4 linked regions of the Callithrix jacchus genome follow. The protein of the gene in region 1 purifies or fractionates together with the protein of each later gene. This does not show direct contact. Links are inferred from orthologs where the notes say so. Each region holds a gene or a part of one and is shown in the gene's direction. Other genes may lie near its edges.

Region 1 (4,178 bases):
TAATCTGGCAATAGCCGACTTGGAAGTTAAGAGCTATGCTCAAATACCACATCTCTGCCATCAGTTCTTAAGTCTTCCACTAGTTACTTAATACCCGTGAGCACCTCTCCTCCCCATTTAATCGGGATGAGGATTACTGGTTGTTAAATCTGTAGAGAGAATCTAGGAATGGAGTCTTACATAGAATATGCTGGTGAGCTAGCAAAACCGATTAACAGAAATCCAGAAAGCATTTTGATAACTTTACATGCAGATGCTAAGAAGGCCAGTCTTAATGACTATATAAATAACCTTAAAATTGTAAAGTTCATTGAATGCAATACTTAAGGTAAAGCCCAGTCTAACCACAGGTGCTTAAAACATGTACAGGTGTGCAGGGGGACAGGCTTTGGGCAACAGGTAGCTTCCAGAGTGGCATCAGAGATACTGGCTTAGTGCAGAGCAGAAAACTGACACAAGCTCTAGTTAAGGCATAGTAGGGAACTGTTAACACAGTTGTCTGGAAGCAAGATGTAAATTGTTTTCAAATCAAAAATTTATATACGTCAAACTTTGAGATGTGCCCTAATGTTTTTTTTTTCTTTAGAAAGATATTTTGTTGGTCATGCTGAGGATTTGTATAGGGTTGTTCACTGTTAACTTTCTTTAGAGTGAAAAAGATTCAGAGGATTTTCTTTCTACAGTCTGTAAGTCCTAAATATTGGAAGAAATCAGCACTTCCATTTTCAGAGTAATTGAGGCACATCTGAAATTTCGAGTCAGCTGTGTGTGTGACCATCTGTACAGCCCATGATCAGCACACAACTGGAATCCTTGCAAAAGCCTGCGCTCTGAACCGCTGCCGTCCAGGAACTACAATCCAGATCCAAATTGAGGTTTCCTAAGTTTGACATTCTGTGATTCCATCTAATAAGAAATATTTTTGTATTCTCCACAGAATGTGAATGGCATAAAGTACCACGCTAAGAATGGTCACAGAACACAGATTCGTGTCCGCAAACCATTCAAATGTCGCTGTGGGAAGAGTTACAAGACAGCTCAGGGCCTGCGGCACCACACAATCAATTTCCATCCCCCGGTGTCGGCTGAGATTATCAGGAAGATGCAGCAATAACATGCTGGTCATAACTGTGCCAAGAAATCCTCACCAGCAGTTGCTGATTTTGAAAACAGCCACCTTTTTTCAGGGGAAGCATTCAGCAACCCTTTAAAGAAAAAGAATTAAATGCATGCTTTAAATTTTTTCTGTAATTTTGGAATGATGTATCTTTGTAGAGTTAATGATTTTGTACATTTGCACATGTAATCATCATACCCATTTTCATTACTTTGATATAAGGTGCTAAACAAAAAAGCTCTAGGTTCTTCAGCACATTTCCCCCAAAACAAAATAAAATTGAGGGCATGTGGCATATTGTTGAATTGTATTGCAGTGAAATCAACTGGGGGGAGGAGGGGCTGGCACTGAGATTTTTTTTCAAGATTGTAATGTGATTGAAGTTTTCGACACATCAACTCACATATGTTCAAAACCAAAATAATACCTTCATTATCAAACTGGTTACCATGCCTTACATAATGGAGTTAGTATTTGTGAGTAGAAAGACTTTAGGTAATGGAAATATAAATAAGAATGTTTAACATAATATGCTAAAAATATTTTCATATTTAAATAACATACATAAAAGGTGTGCTTTCTGTGTTTTATATTATCTTGCAAATCTTTTGCCCTTTAAAAAGCTGAAAATCTTGCCATCTGACTTACTAGTCATTTTAGTGTTATAAATGGCATTTTGTACAAAATAGTCTTATTCAGTTCATTCATTCATTAACCACACATTCATTGAGTGCCTGCTGGGTGCAAGAGATTCAATTTATGCCTCTTGATATCTGCGGACCAAGAAACCAATTTAGTGAAATACTTTTCCTTGAAATCTGTTAGGAAACACTTTGAAATACTTAAGTGCAAATTTTGTGTGTGTGGAATTTAGTTATATCTTCATCTTCAGATGAAGTTTTAAAGCACTTTGTAGTTCTCTATTGCCAACAATTTAATGATGGTTATGTGTTGCCAATTCTTGCAACCACTACCCTACCAGTCCTGTGGGTTGCAAATCAGAACTAAAATTCTAAGCATGTTTCAAAGAGGAACACTTTTGTTAAGACTCCTATTGCCTCTTCTTCATGCTCATCATTTTTGAGACTTTTCTTAAAAGGCACTTTTCTCATCACATTGTAGAGTCTGCATTCTCATAGGAAATGTCTGTTTAGCTTTATAAACACTTTGCTGAAATATGAAAATGAGCCTTATTGACAATTAAGTGCTTCTTGCAGCAGGTGGTCAAAGAAAAGCATGACTAATACGACCCGTTAGAGTAACCTACATCTGGACCATTCCTGAAGTTTTTCCTCACCGACATACCATCATGCCTTGAGTGTTCTTTTCTCCCAAGTGCTATTCCTTAAACATGAGAGTTTACCAATTGCCTAAGTATGCAATAAAAAAATGCTTTGAGATAGCTAACTGCCCATAAAACAAACTCAGATTGCTCATAAAAAAATTATCTTCCCATATTCCCATCTGATGAAAAATCTTACGTCACATGTAGCTAGGAAGCAGGGGGTCCCTCCTCAATTTTCAGATGTTTTGAAAGGATGACAATTCTGCTAGCCAGATGAGTAAACCTCTAAATTCGTAAGTTCTGAATCCCTCATAATGAGGGATTTTAAAGTATTTTTAAAGACACTGCCCTCTTAAAATTTCCTCAGCTCTGAAGCATGGTCTTGGTCCTGAATATACAGTGTTATCCTGTTTAAAAGGGTGATCCAGACGACATGAGAAGCAACTAGTTGGTGCATAAGAAGGCCCTACTTGGCTATTTCATATCTACCTACAATTGACCAAAAAACAATTTTTAGGCCAGCAATTATTATTTAGCTTTGCTCCTTCTAGTGCAAAGAACTGCAGGCTGGATCAGTAGTTTAACAGCTAAACAGTCATAAAATAGTCATTGTGCATGTTAAATTTCTTTCAATGATAAAACAAATTCCAATTTCTATTTACTTATTCATTGTGACAGTATTACTAAACAGGTAAGGATGGGAATATTTTGTTATACTGTGTATAGTGAATGTATTGTACTGTGTCTGTGAAAACTGTGCTTTAAATTATATTTTCATATGTTTTGTTGGGAACAGAGCACATTAAGTCTGAAAGCGACAGAGGTTTGTATTAGAATTGAAGGCAACTTAATCAAAATTCCTGTCAAGAAAAGCTGCTTATAAATGTAAATGAAATCACATTTAAAATAAACTGCCTCTGACCCAAAAATAAATATGGCTCTTTATTTTCCTTAGTGTCCATTATGAAATCCAGTATCAAGTGGAAATTAATATATCCATTCAGTTCCTCATTCTATCTTAGGCTGTTCAGGTGATGCATGTAGACTTTATTCCTTTAAATTTTTGGTTAGATTAGGCTGTATTACTTTTCTATCAATCACAAATTACTTAAACTGGGACCCAGTAACTATTTTTAAATAAGTTCTAGGCTAGTAAGGATGAACAGCATCTACTACTGGAATATTCAAAGGATACTTTTGGATTAACATGGTCCATAATTATTACCTGCAACAAAAATGCTCCTACTGTTGAACATATTGTACCTAAGTATATTCTGCTTGTCATACAACCTATCAGGAAGCTGAAACTTCGAATCTCCAAAGCTACTGCTTCCTAGGACTACTGTGTCCTAACAGCTGGCATCTGAATGCCTAATACTGGTTTGCCCTAGACGAAAATACCTTTTTAAAGGATACTAACAATACATAAACTCTGCTTCCACAAACAAATACAAATGATGTAATATGCTACAGTTCACATATAGCAACCCAGAATGCCACCAAGTCGAAATATTAGGTTAACATCTTCAATAACTAGTTCACTCAGAACAAATGTAAACTATATTGATAACTACAAAAGTGGTAAAATCAAAAGTTGGTACTTTAAATTATTCATATGCACATTATAGAAGGGAAAGAGAATACAGTTCAGAAGTATTTTAAAGGCCCAAACCAAAAAAAGATGTTTAAGATGCTAGGTTGATGAAAAACTTTCACAAATAAATTTGACAACGAAATTACAGATCTCAGAAAACGTGTCCTCTTTACTGTTAGTGA
Region 2 (4,747 bases), on another chromosome or scaffold:
CCTCTGCCCTTTTTCTGCGTCTGGCCATTGTTCTCTGTGGGAGGCCTGTGGAGGCAGTGGCCCCCCACTGGGCTCTTCTGGTGCTGCAAGGCCACCATGGGGTCCTCACTCCTGCACCTCTTTGGTACGGTACGTACATCACAACAAGCCACAGACTTGTGGAGCAGGAGCGATCGTAATCCTCCGACACAGCCCTGAACGTCGTAATCCCGAATATTGAAATCCCTGAAGATCAACACTTCTGACCTCTAAAATCCCAAAAATACAATGCTGGAAAAAAATAATTTAAAAATTATTTTATAAGAAACACAGACATACTTCAAATAATACTTTACTAGGTAGGCTTTCTTAATCCACTGAAAATTAATCCACAAGGCTCCACCCCCACCACCGTCAATGTGGCACCCACAGGCATCTCCTTAACCCATGCAGACAGTAACAACTCACAGTTCCTCACCTGATGCAGCTGTCCTATGATGATTTTCAGGGATTTTGATCTTTCAGGATTTCAACACTCAGGGTTATGGCAGTTAGGATTGTGTCTTTTGGGATTCTGATGCAAACCCCATGGTTGGAGTTGAGCAGCTTTATCAGTACGTCAGTGACGTTGGTTCTCCCCAGCTCTTGGTCTCTGCTAAATTGACGTGGAGCTGAGAGGCCCCTGATAGGCTGGTCAGGGTGAAGTGTGTGGCCATGTGAGGGGAACTGTGGCCACTTATCACAGTCCTCCTCACAGGGAGCCTGATACCAGGCTCAGCCTGGGTACTGAGTTCAAGGGTCTCCTCTGTGGCACACAATTAGGAGCGTTCTTTACCTAAACATTTTCACCCATCTTCCTTGAAAGATTGGTATCCTTGCTGTCTGTTCTTAGTAGAAACATGACCGTGCCAGTGGTTTCCTCTCTTGGGTTTGCTGAAGGAGAGATGGAAGCGTAATCATGTCCCTGGAACTCTGTCTCTGCACTGGGGCAGCAGGCACTGTGGCTGTCGGCTCATGCTCCAGACCCTGGTGCCACTGCCTGAAGCCACGTAGGGTGTCTCCTGTGGGCTAGAGCAGCTTCAGGCAGACTAGAAACCTGGCTGTTAATAAGGACTGTTGGCAGCTAATTCAGATCAGATCTTCCAAACAACAGGCCTGGGACGAAATAAACACATCTGTGGATTTGCTGTGCCCCCTGGGCCTTGGTTTCTACCTCTGGCTCTCATCATCCAGGTTCCCTTCCAGTTCATTCTATTCTCTGTTCAGTTGCATTCTGTTTCAGTCTGTCTCGGTCATTATCTCCTGTCTCTTGTCCACTGCCAATTGCAGACACTGAACTTTCAGTTGCTGATTTGTTCTTCATAATAATACCTTTTGGCAAGTAGTTTATGTCATATACATGTGTTTTCATGTTCCAATTTTCAGTGGCCGGGGTCTCGGTGACATCTGTGTCCCTCTAAGTTACTCCTTCAGCCTTATCAGTTTTTGTACTTCTTGGATATGATGGGATCGGTAGTGTTAGGAAATGCCCTTAAAAACTGAGGACAAATGCAGGCGCCGTTGCTGAGGGATGCCTGGGCTTGCTGCTAAGCACACCGTGGCTTTCTGGGAGTCAGGATCCATGGGCTTTTACTCCAATATGGAGTAAAAAAGAAGATTTCTCAGATCTTTGAAAGTTCAGAAGTGGAGGAACATCTGATAATGTATGAGAACAGATCAGGGTCATCTTCTGAGCCTGGGTGTGCAAGGCACCTCTAGCCCATGGCCATCTCAGCCTATCGTCTTTTTGTCCGTAGACTGGAGCGCTGCTCAGCGCTTTCGTTCAGCTGTGCCACATTTCCACAACGCTGGCAGAGAAGACATGGGTCCAGCTTTTCCCCAGATTATGGAAGATCCTCTCTGACAGACAGCAGCATGTGAGTGTATCTTTAAAATCCTGTTTTGGAGAAATGTAGTTTCATCTTTTGGTAAGTATTCTTAAAAGAACACAGTCTTGATCAAGTTTTAGAGGATGAGGAAACTGCTGGCTGTCACTCGAGTGCATTAGGAAAGGTATTCTTAGCTGCATCAAGAGAGACAGTGAGACGCTGATTTTTGAATGAAGCTATGGATGACATGCGCTTTGGTTTCAGGCGCTCGCGGGCGAGATAAGTCCATTCCTGTGCAGCGGTAGTCACCAGGTACAGCGAGACTGCCAGCCCAGTGCGCTGAACTGCTTCGTGGAAGCCATGTCCCAGTGCGTGCCCCCGATCCCCATCCGACCCTGTGTCCTGAAGTACCTGGGGAAAACACACAACCTCTGGTTCCGGTCCACACTGATGCTGGAGCACCAGGCTTTTGAAAAGGGTCTGAGTCTTCAGATAAAGCCGAAGCAAACAACAGAGTTTTATGAGCAGGAGAGCATCACCCCACCTCAGCAGGTGAGGATGCGCCTCAGATTGTTCATTACCTCTTCCCTGCCAGTGTCCTCACACTTTAAATAAGTACTGCTCCCAAATGATTTCAAATTACAACACAGTGAAGCTGCATTTTTAGGAAAACAAAGTCTTTGTCCTGAGCACTGAGGAACCTTGCTTTGTGTTTTCAGGAGATACTGGATTCCCTTGCGGAACTTTACTCCCTTTTGCAAGAGGAAGATATGTGGGCCGGTCTGTGGCAGAAGCGGTGCAAGTACTCGGAGACGGCGACTGCAATTGCTTACGAGCAGCACGGGTTCTTTGAGCAGGTAAACCTCCGGTAACTGCCTGGCTTGCATGTGCAGTGAGAGGCCATTTCTGATGGTTCTTTAGTAAAATCTTCTCAAGTTCTAGCTCACTTTTTTTATGAGATGGAGTCTCGCTCTGTCACCCAGGCTGGAATACAGTGGCACAATCTCAGCTCACTGCAGCCTCCACCTTCTGGGTTCAAGCAATTCTCCTGCCTCAGCCTCCCGAGTAGCTGGGACTACAGGCACCCACCACCATGCTTGGCTGATTTTTGTATTTTTGGTAGAGATGGGGTTTCACCATGTTGGCCAGGTTGGTCTTGAACTCCTGGCCTCAAGGTGATACGCCCACTTGGGCCTCCCAAAGTGCTGGGATTATAGGTATGAGCCACCGCGACCAGCCGGAGTTCACATTTAAATATGCTTTAAAACGTGAATCTGTAAAGGCCCTGTGACTGAAGTCTGCATTTAAGAGACACTTCTGTATATGACATGAGCTAAAAAGCACAGTCTCAATAAGTCCCGTGCATTAGATGCCAGCGTGGATGCTTTTTACCTCCCATTGTGGGTCCGGTTAGAAGTAATAGGTTTCGTTTAGTGCTTACATTTTACTCTTCATTCTGCCCTTTGGCATGGCGTGGGCCACTGTTTCAGGGTGTGATCCCAGTACTGTGTAGGGTGCCGAGCCACAGAAGCTCCAAAAGCAGATGTGGCCTTGTGGCTCCTGCTCTGATCACTAAAGGATGGAGAAATTAATCCTGCATCTGGACAGCCTCCCCTTCCATCTGTACAGGGAAACCCACCTTCTCTGTCTCTGTGAACAGAGAGCTGTGGGTGTTGAGTGGTCCTGCAGAAGAGCCCCACACACTCTCAGGTCTGTGATTCAACTTGCTCTACACAACTGGGCCATGGCGGTGAAAAGGTGTTTCTTAGCCAGCTGCAGGCTTGTACCTGCAGTTCAGTGACTTAGGGAGGCTGAGGCACGAGGGGCCCTTGAGCCTAGGAATTAGGAGTTTGAGTCTAGTTTGGCAACATAGCAAAACCCCATCTCAAAAAACTTTTCTAAGTGTTAAATTTAAAAACACAGAAAGAAAAGGTATGTTACTAGTTAAACAGTAGTTTAAAAGTGTTAACTTTTTTTAGGCACAAGAATCCTATGAAAAGGCAATGGATAAAGCCAAAAAAGAACACGAAAGGAGCAATGCCTCCCCTGCGATCTTCCCCGAATACCAGCTCTGGGAAGACCACTGGATTCGGTGAGCCAAACACAGTGCTTGACATGAGCATGAATCAGTTGAGGGAACCAAGGAAACATCTCAGACCTTTTCTTGTAATGAGTGTTTTTTAAAGGGAGCTTTGCTACTTTATGGCCACGTAAAGAAAAGAACAAACAGAAACCTAAGACCAGCATGTAAAGCCTTGAGTAATTAAACATGTCAACTGGAGAAGCAGTAAACTATCCTTGCATCTCCCCTGGCTCCAGTGCTTGAGGCCATTTGCTGAAAAGCAGGTGTTTCGTGGTGGGCAGCAGGCAGGGGGCTCACCCCGCGATGGAGCCCATCTCCGTGTTCTGTAGAAGTTCACTCTTGCTGTGTTGTTCTTCTGTAGAATGGAAATTTGCTTCTTAAAACCCTATCACTGCCTCTTTGAATTCATGAGTGTGCTGGTGACTGAGCTTCTGCCCTCGGATCTATGGTCTTGTAGGTGCTCCAAGGAGTTGAACCAGTGGGAAGCCCTGACCGAGTATGGCCAGTCCAAAGGCCACATCAATCCCTACCTTGTCCTGGAGTGCGCCTGGCGGGTGTCCAACTGGACTGCCATGAAGGAGGCACTGGTACAGGTGAGGCACTGGTACTAGTACAGGATGCCCCAGGGGCATCCCTCCAGCTGCCTGGGTCCTCTTTCCTGAAGCAGCAGGTGTCTTTTGGGAAGATTTCCCTTAGAACAAGCATTTTGGCAGTGGAAAGATAACTTGTGGAAAGGAAAGGTTCTTTTTGATTGTCTTCAATGCCTTTCCTGAATTTGAGTAATGTCTTTTTTTTACAAAATGTGAGAAGTTGAAGA
Region 3 (5,418 bases), on another chromosome or scaffold:
CAGAAGAGAGAGAAATATGTAACGAAAACTTACAGCCCAAGAGTTTATGATCAAGACAGGCCATTTTCTTCAAATAAATTTAAGCAATGCTGCTAAAAGCTGCTTTACACATTCCTACATATTACCATTTACTACTTTCATATCTCGAGGAGGGCATGGAATTACACAAGATCTGGATCGTATGTTCATTAAGAAAAAATTACAGATTCTAGGGTGTTTCAACACTTCACCTGTGATGGCCAGAGCGGACGCATCTTTGGATCTTTAAAACCCTAAATTAAAAACTATCTGTACCGAGAAAGGCCAGAATAGCTCAATTCCCACCCAATACAACCCCCACTTCCGACCTACAGGCGCCCTACTGAGCGGCTGGGCGAATCCGCGGTCGCGCTAGTCAGGGCCCCGCTTCTTCCATCAACAGAGACTTTGCCAGCCTCCCAGAAACCTCGGTTAGGCGGAAGGCCGGGGTGGAGGCCACCACTGCGAGGACAGTACCCACCCAGCCGCGAGGAGTTCGCGGTTCCCCCGAGGGGCGGGCCTGGGCCCGGGTAACCGTGCGCGACATCACGAGTTTTTAGGATATCTACCTTTTCGGCCTCTAGGCCCTGGCGCCTGCGCCATTTAAGCCACAGATCCGCCCGCCCCGCCGCGACCGAGCCCGGGAGCCGCCGCAACCGCCGCCCGGGGCCCCGTAGCCCAAGGGCCGGATGGACCGAGCGCCGGCCGCGGCGTTCCGGTGCGCGCGCGCGCCTCAGCCAATCGCGTGCTCGCCCGCCCCCCGCCGCCGCGGCGAGGCTGGCGCTGGGAAGAGGAAGAAGAACATTCGCCCTCCTCCTACCAGCGCGCGGGCGGCGGCGGCGGCGGCACCGGGGTCACGAACTCTGACCTTTCACTGACAAAAACAATAACAAACCCCCCCTTCCCCGCGACACCGGCGGCGCCCCCGGGCCCGTCCCCGCCACCCCGCAACCACCTCGGCATCTCGTCTCTCGCCCGCTGCCCCGCGAGCCCGCGGCCCCCGGGCTCCCGCCATCCGCCGACGCCGGGAGCCGGGGCTCCCCGCGCCCTGCCCTCCGCGCCGGGGGCCGCCCGCCGCAGACACGGGACCCGCTTCGAGGCCGCTTTGGCGCCAAACCCTAAGGTAAGATTGAAAAAGGGTCGGGCGGGCTCGGGCCAGCGGCGGAGGGGGCGGGCCTGGCGCGGGGAAATGGAGGCGCCGCAACGACGGCTGAACCCGACCCTTTTACCTTTGCCACGGGGCGGCAGCGGCGGCGGCGCTCGGCGCTTTGCATAGTGGGCCGGGCCGCTCCCCTTCCCTCCCCGCCCGCGGCCGGACGAAGCGAGCGGGTTCCCCCTGACCGGCCGGGCCGGCGCAAGGGTGGGGGCGGAGGGGGAATGGCCGCGGCCCCGCCTCACAGTTGGCCCTCCGCCAGCGCCGCCATTTTGTTCTCGACGGAGATGGCCTGGGCTGGGCGGGCTCCCTTCCTCCTTATATTCCTCCGCCCTCCTGCAGTCCCTTATTCCCTCTCTCCTGGGTTCTTTGCCCCTTCGCTTCTAGTCCGCCTTTGGCGGCCGCCGTGGCCCAACCGCCGTTTTTTCTGAAGGGGAGGGCAAAGGGAAAGGAGGAAGGCGGGTGCGAGGCACCACCTCGTGAGCGACGGGTGGGCCGACCAATTGGCGCCCGGATAGGAGGGTCGGGTTCTGTGGCACCGCCTCCATAATCTTTGTTGATTGGGTGAGGCAGAATAGGGCGGTCCCTATGGGGCGCGGGAGCCCTGGCGGGGCGGGAGTAGGGGCTGGGGCGCGGGGGGCGGGGCCTGGGGCGGGGCACAAGGGGCGCGGCCCTGGGCCCTGGGGTGGGCGGCTTCCCTCCTACTGGAACGCGTCCAGAATGAGTACTAATGAACAATAGTATTAAAGGTGATGCGTTTGGAGTCCACGATGAGGTCTCGAGGGAAGAGATTTTCGGAACGCGGACAAACCCGTTTCAGGTCTCCTGCTCGTTATTTCGGAGCGGCTATGGCGAATCCCCAAATGAGGCTCAATTTTATCCATTGTAAAATGGGGAGCATGGGCATTCTTGCCAGGCTGGACCTCCCTTTTCAGCATTGTTTTTGGGGCTCTGCTCAGAAAATGGAGTCAAGTCTACTTTGCTAGCCTCAAAGTCACTTGAAAATGGTATTACTGTTAAAAATGGGATTACGGCCACCAGGAGAGGCAAGCTTAAGGGTATTAAGGGCTTGAGAGAGCACGATTCGGGGGTGATTCTCTTTTCATTCTTTCACTGAATACATGTTTACTTAGTTTTAGGCACTGGGGATACATCTGGAGAACCAGCTGGACGAGACCCCTGCCCTCACTAGCGTTGGGGGGCTAGGGGGTAAATAGACAAAGAAATAATTCCAGAGAGTGGTAAGTTCTATGAAAGGAAAAAACCAAATGACCTGCTGAAGACCTCAGGCACTAATTTAGATGGAATGGTCGGGGTGACCTCTCTGAGGAAGTGATGTTTGAACAGAGGAACCCAAGGAGGGAATGGCATTCCAGACAGGACAGCCTGTGTAAGGGCCCCGGAGGAAGAGCATTTGATGTGATTGAGAACTAGCTACTTGTGGCTGGAGAGTTGGTTGGAACTAGTTAATTGTGCATTATCCCACTCCAAGCCAAAGGCTGTAAAATATAGCAACGGTAGTGAGGAACAAATCTTCAATGTAATAATAAAGTCGAGGAAAATACGGCCTTCATACGAATTGCTGGTGAATATATGACTTGGGAGGAGGGCCTCGGAAACTCACTTTAGTTCCAGATGCAAATCCTTCGTCAGCCTCTTATATACATCTTGAGTTCTTCAAATATTTCCTGAATGCCACATATACTCCAGGCACTGCGCTAGGCTGAGAATACAAAAATGACGAAGACACTGGTGCTCAAACATGTGAACATGTTTTTTTTTTTTTTTTTTTTTTGAGACCAGGGTCTCACTCTATCGTCCAGGCTGAAGTTGAATATAATTCTCTGTGTACAAGTTCTACACACACACACACCCCTTCTCACACTCACTATCTCTCTCTTTTTTCTTTCTGGAGCTAAAGAGGTATTTATACACATACATACACAGACATAAAATGTTTCAGTGTTGTGATTAGCAACTCCCAACTTTTACTAGTAGTGTGATTTTGTGTAAGTTACCTTTCCTAGCCTCAGTAACCTTGTCTGGATAATAATAGAACCTTCCTTCTAGAACTGAAGATTAAATGAGTTAATGTAAATAATAGAGCTTAGCAAAGGGCCTGACATATAGTAAATACTCTATAAGTAGAGTTATTGTCATTATGAAGTACTGGTATAGACATTGGACTAGTTAAGTGATAGAAACAATGAAATTTTTAGGCAGTGTGGTGTAGGGGCAAAAACAATAGATAGATGTTCTGAGATTCTAGTTTTGGCTCTATGCTTTCAACTAGCTACTTGGCATCCAGGACAAACGTTTAGAAAATAAAATAGTGAAACTAAATAGTACTAACCAAAGTATAGGGTGCTTTATGATTTACAAAACTCTTTTCAGGCAGTATGTTGTTCAGGCTCCACTAGAACCTACATAATGGCAGGGGCTCTTTTTCTGCTTTATGTTTAAAAACCTCTCCAAGGCTTTTGATTATTTTCTTATCTGTGTACCCCTAACTCCTGTGCTCTGGACACACTGGCCTACCTTCAACTTCCTTGACCAGTGTAGCTTACCTTCTCACCTTACGCCCTTTCACAGGCTGTTCCCTCAGCCTGATATATTCAAATGTCTGTCCCCTACCCCTGCGTCCTCCCACCCTACCTCAGATATTGGCTTAAGCATCACTTCTTCAGGGAAGTCCTCCCTAATTCCCATTGCCAATCTAAATCAGATTCTTTTTATTGTGTTTCTTTTCTTTATAACCTTTATTTCACTTTGTAATTATACACTCCATTATGTGATTATTTGATTAATGTCTGTCCTTACCACACTGTAAGCCAGGAGAGCAGGAATACATTTTGTTCACCATTACTTACCCTGCACTTAGAAGAGTGCCTGGCACTATTTGTTGAATGAATTGTTGATAATTTATGATGTCACTGATAACTAAGTTGCTGTGCATTGATGCAGTATCCACCTTTTATGTGAGCCTCTTTGGCAATTCAGATAACACTGCCAGCAATAAAAAGCCTGTTAAGGTATTTGGTTGTATTTAGGAAGTGCTTTCTGTTAGATATGCCACTGCCTTGAGACATAAATATTGAATAAAATGACCTGTTTCAATCATTTTTCCCACTATATTGATCTTTTTATGATTGAATTATAAATTTAATTGCATGAAAGTAAGTTCATATGTGAAGAAATAAATAACCCAAACATCCTTATGTTATTTAACTGAAGAAACAAAGCACCAAACTAACATGATTTTCTTGAAATCAAATATTCTGATTTTTGTTTCACTATCACAGGGAATTGGAGAGCAAGGAAGAAGCCTCCAGTGGGTTCACAGGGAGTTGGGAGTTGAAAGTCTCTGTAGCCATTACTTTGGGATATTTATCCTTCCAGAGATAAATTTATTCATTTAATGAAATTATTGAAAATCATCTTTTAATTGCTTTACCAAGGCTAAAAGCAAATTTTGTAAAGTATATATCAAGTTGCTACTCCAAAGTGTGGTAAAGAGAACATTTGTATTGACTTATTTTATATTGTAAAACTTTTAAAATAAGATACCGTTAGGGTATTTTAAAAATAATAATAGTTAATTTTTGGATTTTTTTTTTTTCTGTCTTGCTCAAGGATTTCTGGTATCACTTGTTCAATTCAACACTTGATTCGTTGAGCTAATTACTCAGGATAACCAAAGAACTGATAGTTTAGTAAAACAGCTATATATTTTTTTACACCATTAAGTTACTCATTTATTGCTTTCAGTAGCTGTATTCACAGTGAACTTGAAGTTTTGTTTTCATGATCATTCCTTTATAGAAGAAAATCTCTATGCGTAACAACCTTCTCACTTTATGAAGTTGGCTGGGAAGTTTTAGCATCTGTCTCCAAGGAGTCATGTGGCAGGGCAGTGCAGTGACAGAGAGCTTGGGGTATGAAGCCAGAAGTACCTGGCTTCAGAACCTGGAGTTTGTAGATTCTCTGAGGCGTATAGTTCCCCATTTGTCAAACAGGGAGGTGGTAGCCAGCGTTGAGAATGGGGCCAGAAGTAGAGGATACTTGTTTTCTAAATGACTTTGAGAACAAGGGAGGTGAGTCTTTGTGGAGCAGCCCTGTTTTCAGCCATGGCACTGAGCCACTGGCCTCCTGTGTCAGTTGCCTGAGTGTCTCCACATTTTGAGGACCTTCCATTGGGATTTTTATTGTCAAGTTCTCTTATCTGTGAGCCGTATGCTCCTTTAGTC
Region 4 (4,747 bases), on another chromosome or scaffold:
ATAGTTAAGAATGCCTTTTCTTTTTTCCTACTTTTTGCTAATCCATCCATATATGATCATATTAGACTTTTCTTCTCAGTGTTGCATAATATTTAAGAACCCAAGCTTGGAAATTAGATCTGGGTTCATTATTACTCCATCCAAAAACTGGGTCATTTTCCTTTGTGTTTTTTTCATTTGTAAAATAGTGATGATTTGCTTCAGGATTGTTGTGAAGTTAATTGAGGTAATACATGTAAAGCATTTAACACAGTGCCTTGTTAGTAGATATTAGCTATAAATATTTTCAATTAGGTTGCCTTTACCCAAATGCACAAACTGTAGTCCATAAGACTCTTTCTGTGTCTTGTTTTGATTATTTTGAACTGATTGGATTATCAAGTTACTTACCTGCCTAGAAACCATTCACATCTTACATATATCTCTCTTCTCTAAATCTTACTCTAATCTCTTTAAACTTTGAAAGGGCATTTCTTTTCATGCTTGCTCATCACATTTTCACTTTTTTTTTTTTTTGTAGCATTGTGCTTCCCAGTACTCGGAGCTTTTAGAGACCACTGAGACCCCAAAGTGAGTATAAGGCCAGGTACTTTAGCCAAATTTCTTATAGAGTGTTTACTGAGGAATTCTGGTTTATACCTATTTATAATAGTGGGTGATTTAAAAACATAGCAGAAGTTATCTATGATTAATTGATAAAGAAGGCTCAGAGCAAGTGGGAGAGGGGATAAATGTTCTCTTATTCAAATATGGATTTTTTTTTTTTTTTTTTTCATTTTCCACAGACGGAAACGAGGTGAAAAAGGAGAAGTGGTGGAAACTGTTGAAGACGTCATTGTTCGGAAACTGACTGCTGAGCGAGTTGAGGAACTAAAGAAAGTGATAAAGGAAACCCAGGAGAGATATAGGTACTTATCAGAGAGAATGCCAAAAGACTGAGAAAGACATAAGAGGCTGACGTCTGGTATTGGTCAGATTTTTAGAATAGATTAAAAATCCATTCTACCTACCTCTCTTTTCTTCCTATAGACGGTTAAAAAGAGATGCAGAACTAATTCAAGCTGGACACATGGACAGCAGACTGGATGAGCTTTGCAATGACATTGCAATGTGGGTTATATTATATTGTTCTTCTGTGCTTGTTTCTTTTTCCCCTCTTTTCCCCTCAAGTAATCTGGCTTATTTCCTCCAACTGCCATCCCTTTAGACTTGAGACAGATTCTGGAAGGAGAAAACTGCAAAGCGGCTTGGTGGCTGGGAGGGGGGAGTGAGTCCTAGAAGGTAATATGATGGAACATTTCAGTATGAAAACATAACTTAGTTATAACTTAAAAGTGGCTCTAGTTTGCCTGAGTGAAGAAGTGGGAGTTAGACAGTATACCCCAGTTCCCTGTTTTGCTGGTTAGAATTCCTGTTTAGGCCTTTCTTCCAGAAAGCGCTGGCCAGGCAAAAAAATTTCTTTTTATGGGTTCTGTGAACTCTGGGGAGGAGCCAGAGCCTGTCTAGTGTCTAACTCTTAATTCCTTGTTTAGGAAAAAAAAATTGGAAGAAGAGGAGGCTGAAGTAAAGAGGAAGGCTACAGATGCTGCATATCAGGGTAAGCTGATCCTAGTATATCTGTTTAGCAGTTGATCGCACAGTACTGCAAGCTAATGACAGTTGGATTGTTTTGTAACATAGAATCCATTGGGTTAAATTTACTTGCACAGTTTTCTCTTCTGCTAGAATAAAAACATCCCTTAATGTCCCAGAAGAAGCTCCTAGAACATGAACTCTGCTCAGATCTCACTAGACCTTAATAAATAACTTTAGGATACCAAGGCTCGATAAGAAGATATTGAACATAATTAATGTTTTAGAAGTCAAAGGCCTGTGAAAAGATTGAGAATAGCTCAGTCATTAGATAAGGGGAGAAATGTAAGCATTTACAACTCTAGGAATAAATGCTGTGAGGTCTTTTCCTGTTTTTGTTCCCCCACCCCCGAGAGCTTGTTGTGCAGGCCTGAAGTGCAGTGGCATGATCTCAGCTCACTGCAATCTCTGCCTCCTATGATATTCAAGCAATTCTTCTGCCTCAGCCTCTCAAGTAGCTGGTATCACAGGCACCTGTCACCACGCCCGCCTAATTTTTTGGCCAAGCTGGTCTCAAACACCTGACCTCAGGTGACCCGCCTGCCTTGGCCTCCCAAAGTATTGGGGTTACAGGCGTGAGCCACCGTACCTGGCCTCCGTGTTCTTAAAAGCAGAGTATTAATAAGTCACTGAAGAGAATATTAAAGGGTATAAACCACTTTCCCACTCCGAGGACTTTTGGGATAACTAAGTAGTTTGAGATTGTTAAAGGAGTTTATTTAGTGTGAGAATTGCCCTTAGGAAAAATTAGGCTAAAAAGTTATCCATCTCCAGAAGTGTTAAAGCTTTCTAATCCAAACTCATTATGCTGCTTTAGTAATGCAACATTCCTATTTGTCCTTTATTGTATAATAGCAGAATAGTGTCAAGTTTCATTTATTTAATCTTAAAGATTTGGACATGTTTTCTTTTACGTTCTAGCTCGTCAAGCAGTAAAAACACCCCCCCGGAGGTTACCCACTGTGATGGTTCGCTCTCCTATAGATTCTGCCTCCCCAGGAGGTGATTATCCACTTGGGGACTTGACTCCAACCACTATGGAAGAGGCTACCTCTGGGGTGAGTATATTTCCAGCTGTAGAAATTGATCAGCTAAGGGGCAATAAGCCGGCAGAGCTGAGTGATGAGGAAACCACTTTTGGTCTAAAGGCAACTTCCTCTCTTGGTCTGAATGCTAAAGAATTTACCATGTTCTGTGCTCTGAGATAAAAATGGACCTAAAAACACTGAGGCTTTTGACCTTTTTGAGAGATAGGTAAAAGACTGTTTTAAGGAATTGTTTCATACTAGTCTTATGAAATTCCTGCTAAAATAAGGGACTGAGTCCTTGTAAATGTAATACTGGTAGTGGGTAAGGAGTTCATAAAAGGCAAGTTGGGTGGGATGTTTGAGTGGATGGAAGTGAAGCTTGTGGGGAAGAAAAGTATGGCTGAGAGCAGGAGGGATAGAGGCTTTCTGGGCAATTCGACTCAGGACTAATAAAATAATAGTTAGACACACTAACCCAAACAGATTAGTAGGGAACCTTCCATAGTTTGAGAAGTCAGATAAAGGTTCTCTGTTGTCTCTTAGGTAACCCCCGGGACTTTGCCGAGTACCCCAGTCACCTCGTTTCCTGGGATTCCTGACACCCTTCCTCCAGGCTCTGCACCCTTAGAAGCCCCCATGACCCCAGTAACAGATGATTCACCCCAGAAAAAGATGCTTGGACAGAAAGCAACTCCACCCCCCTCCCCTCTGCTGTCAGAGCTCTTGAAGAAGGGCAGCCTCCTGCCTACTAGCCCCAGACTGGTATGGAGACTTCTGTGGGTGTTTGAGAGCTGTGGTGATTTAGTACTTGGAAGGGAGTGCCTGGGACCTAAAATGTGACATGGGGAAAAAAAGTTCAAAAGAGGAAAATATCTCCTAATTATATGTTAATTTTTGAAAAATATAGTAAGTTGATAGTACCCTTGGGTCCTGAGGTCTCTGAATCAAAATTATTTTGGTTCTCTACTCCAGAGAACTCTTGTCAAATAAGTTTTGAACATTATAGTTTAGAGTTTCCCTTGGGTATTAAATTATTCTCTGTGGATGTTAACTGTTAGTTTTCATAAAGTTTGATCAACTTCTGGAGCTTTGTTGGGAAATGGTAGTAAAGGAAAACTTGAGTGTAGCCTTCACCTCTGTTCTTCCCTGGTAGGTCAATGAGAATGAAATGGCTGTGGCTTCTGGCCACCTGAACAGTACAGGTGTCCTCCTGGAGGTAGGCGGGGTCCTTCCCATGATACATGGTGGGGAGATACAGCAAACACCCAATACTGTTGCAGCCTCCCCTGCTGCCTCAGGTAAGTTACCACTTTTCCTTTATCTACTTCAGAGGTGTTGAACTTGACATTGACTGACCTCAATTTCAGTGTTTTTTACTAAGTAATTGTTAGTCCTAGTTTAAAGCCCAACTTTGTCTAACTGTTTTTGAAGCTACTTTACCTGGTAAACAATGTAGTGCTCCTGATTATAAAGCTGTCTGTCTTCAAGGTATTGATAGCCCTGATTGACCACAGCATAGATATTAAGAGTAATACTGAGCTGCTTTCTTGTGGCTTGCAAAATCAAGGTACTAGAGATACCTGAGATTCTAGAATAGTGGAATAAGATTTGGAACCAGAGAACTGGGCTTGAATCTCAGACCTGCCACACATTGGTTTTGTGACTTTGTATAGGTAACTTAGCTTTTGAGTCTCAGTTTACTTTTTTTATTAATTGTAATGTATATATTTGATGAAGAGGTGATAAGAATTAAATGAAGAAAAAAGTGTAAAGCAGGGAAAGACAAAAAGCTCCATAAAATATTCTATAAACTTTATTGGTATTTGAATGGTGTTGAACTTGGTGATTTACAATATGCTGAACTTCAGCAGAAGTGACATATTTATTAATACCAGTTTTTTATTTCTTGGTGATTAATTTTCCTCTGAGGAAAAATTACCACCCTTTTTTTTTTTTATACAGAGCCTCGCTCAGTTGCCCAAGCTGGAGTGTGGTGGCACAATCTGAGCTCACTGCAAACTCCATGTCCTGGGTTCAGTCAATTCTCCTGCCTCAGCTTCCTGGGAAGCTGGGATCAGAGGTGTGAG

The links.
Region 2: the proteins of JAZF1 (region 1) and TRRAP purify together in Homo sapiens (affinity purification with mass spectrometry; 3 studies listed by BioGRID and IntAct, with this or other methods). This does not show direct contact. The link is inferred for Callithrix jacchus from reciprocal best matches to the Homo sapiens genes JAZF1 and TRRAP.
Region 3: the proteins of JAZF1 (region 1) and NR2C2 purify together in Homo sapiens (affinity purification with mass spectrometry; 4 studies listed by BioGRID and IntAct, with this or other methods). This does not show direct contact. The link is inferred for Callithrix jacchus from reciprocal best matches to the Homo sapiens genes JAZF1 and NR2C2.
Region 4: the proteins of JAZF1 (region 1) and BRD8 purify together in Homo sapiens (affinity purification with mass spectrometry; 3 studies listed by BioGRID and IntAct, with this or other methods). This does not show direct contact. The link is inferred for Callithrix jacchus from reciprocal best matches to the Homo sapiens genes JAZF1 and BRD8.

What each region holds. Positions count from the first base shown.
Region 1 is NC_133512.1:30,271,412-30,275,589, forward strand, and holds the end of JAZF1 (juxtaposed with another zinc finger protein 1), read left to right. Parts: intron 1-937; coding exon 938-1,114; 3' UTR 1,115-3,335; downstream 3,336-4,178. UniProt on the Homo sapiens protein: Acts as a transcriptional corepressor of orphan nuclear receptor NR2C2. Inhibits expression of the gluconeogenesis enzyme PCK2 through inhibition of NR2C2 activity.
Region 2 is NC_133503.1:14,618,865-14,623,611, reverse strand, and holds part of TRRAP (transformation/transcription domain-associated protein), read left to right. Parts: intron 1-1,775; coding exon 1,776-1,895; intron 1,896-2,111; coding exon 2,112-2,399; intron 2,400-2,566; coding exon 2,567-2,704; intron 2,705-3,826; coding exon 3,827-3,939; intron 3,940-4,387; coding exon 4,388-4,523; intron 4,524-4,747. UniProt on the Homo sapiens protein: Adapter protein, which is found in various multiprotein chromatin complexes with histone acetyltransferase activity (HAT), which gives a specific tag for epigenetic transcription activation.
Region 3 is NC_133516.1:71,933,988-71,939,405, forward strand, and holds the start of NR2C2 (nuclear receptor subfamily 2 group C member 2), read left to right. Parts: upstream 1-1,824; 5' UTR 1,825-1,901; coding exon 1,902-1,991; intron 1,992-2,304; exon of another isoform or gene 2,305-2,412; intron 2,413-5,418. UniProt on the Homo sapiens protein: Orphan nuclear receptor that can act as a repressor or activator of transcription.
Region 4 is NC_133503.1:36,576,230-36,580,976, reverse strand, and holds part of BRD8 (bromodomain-containing protein 8), read left to right. Parts: intron 1-520; coding exon 521-570; intron 571-785; coding exon 786-908; intron 909-1,029; coding exon 1,030-1,110; intron 1,111-1,532; coding exon 1,533-1,597; intron 1,598-2,553; coding exon 2,554-2,690; intron 2,691-3,203; coding exon 3,204-3,422; intron 3,423-3,813; coding exon 3,814-3,958; intron 3,959-4,747. UniProt on the Homo sapiens protein: May act as a coactivator during transcriptional activation by hormone-activated nuclear receptors (NR). Isoform 2 stimulates transcriptional activation by AR/DHTR, ESR1/NR3A1, RXRA/NR2B1 and THRB/ERBA2.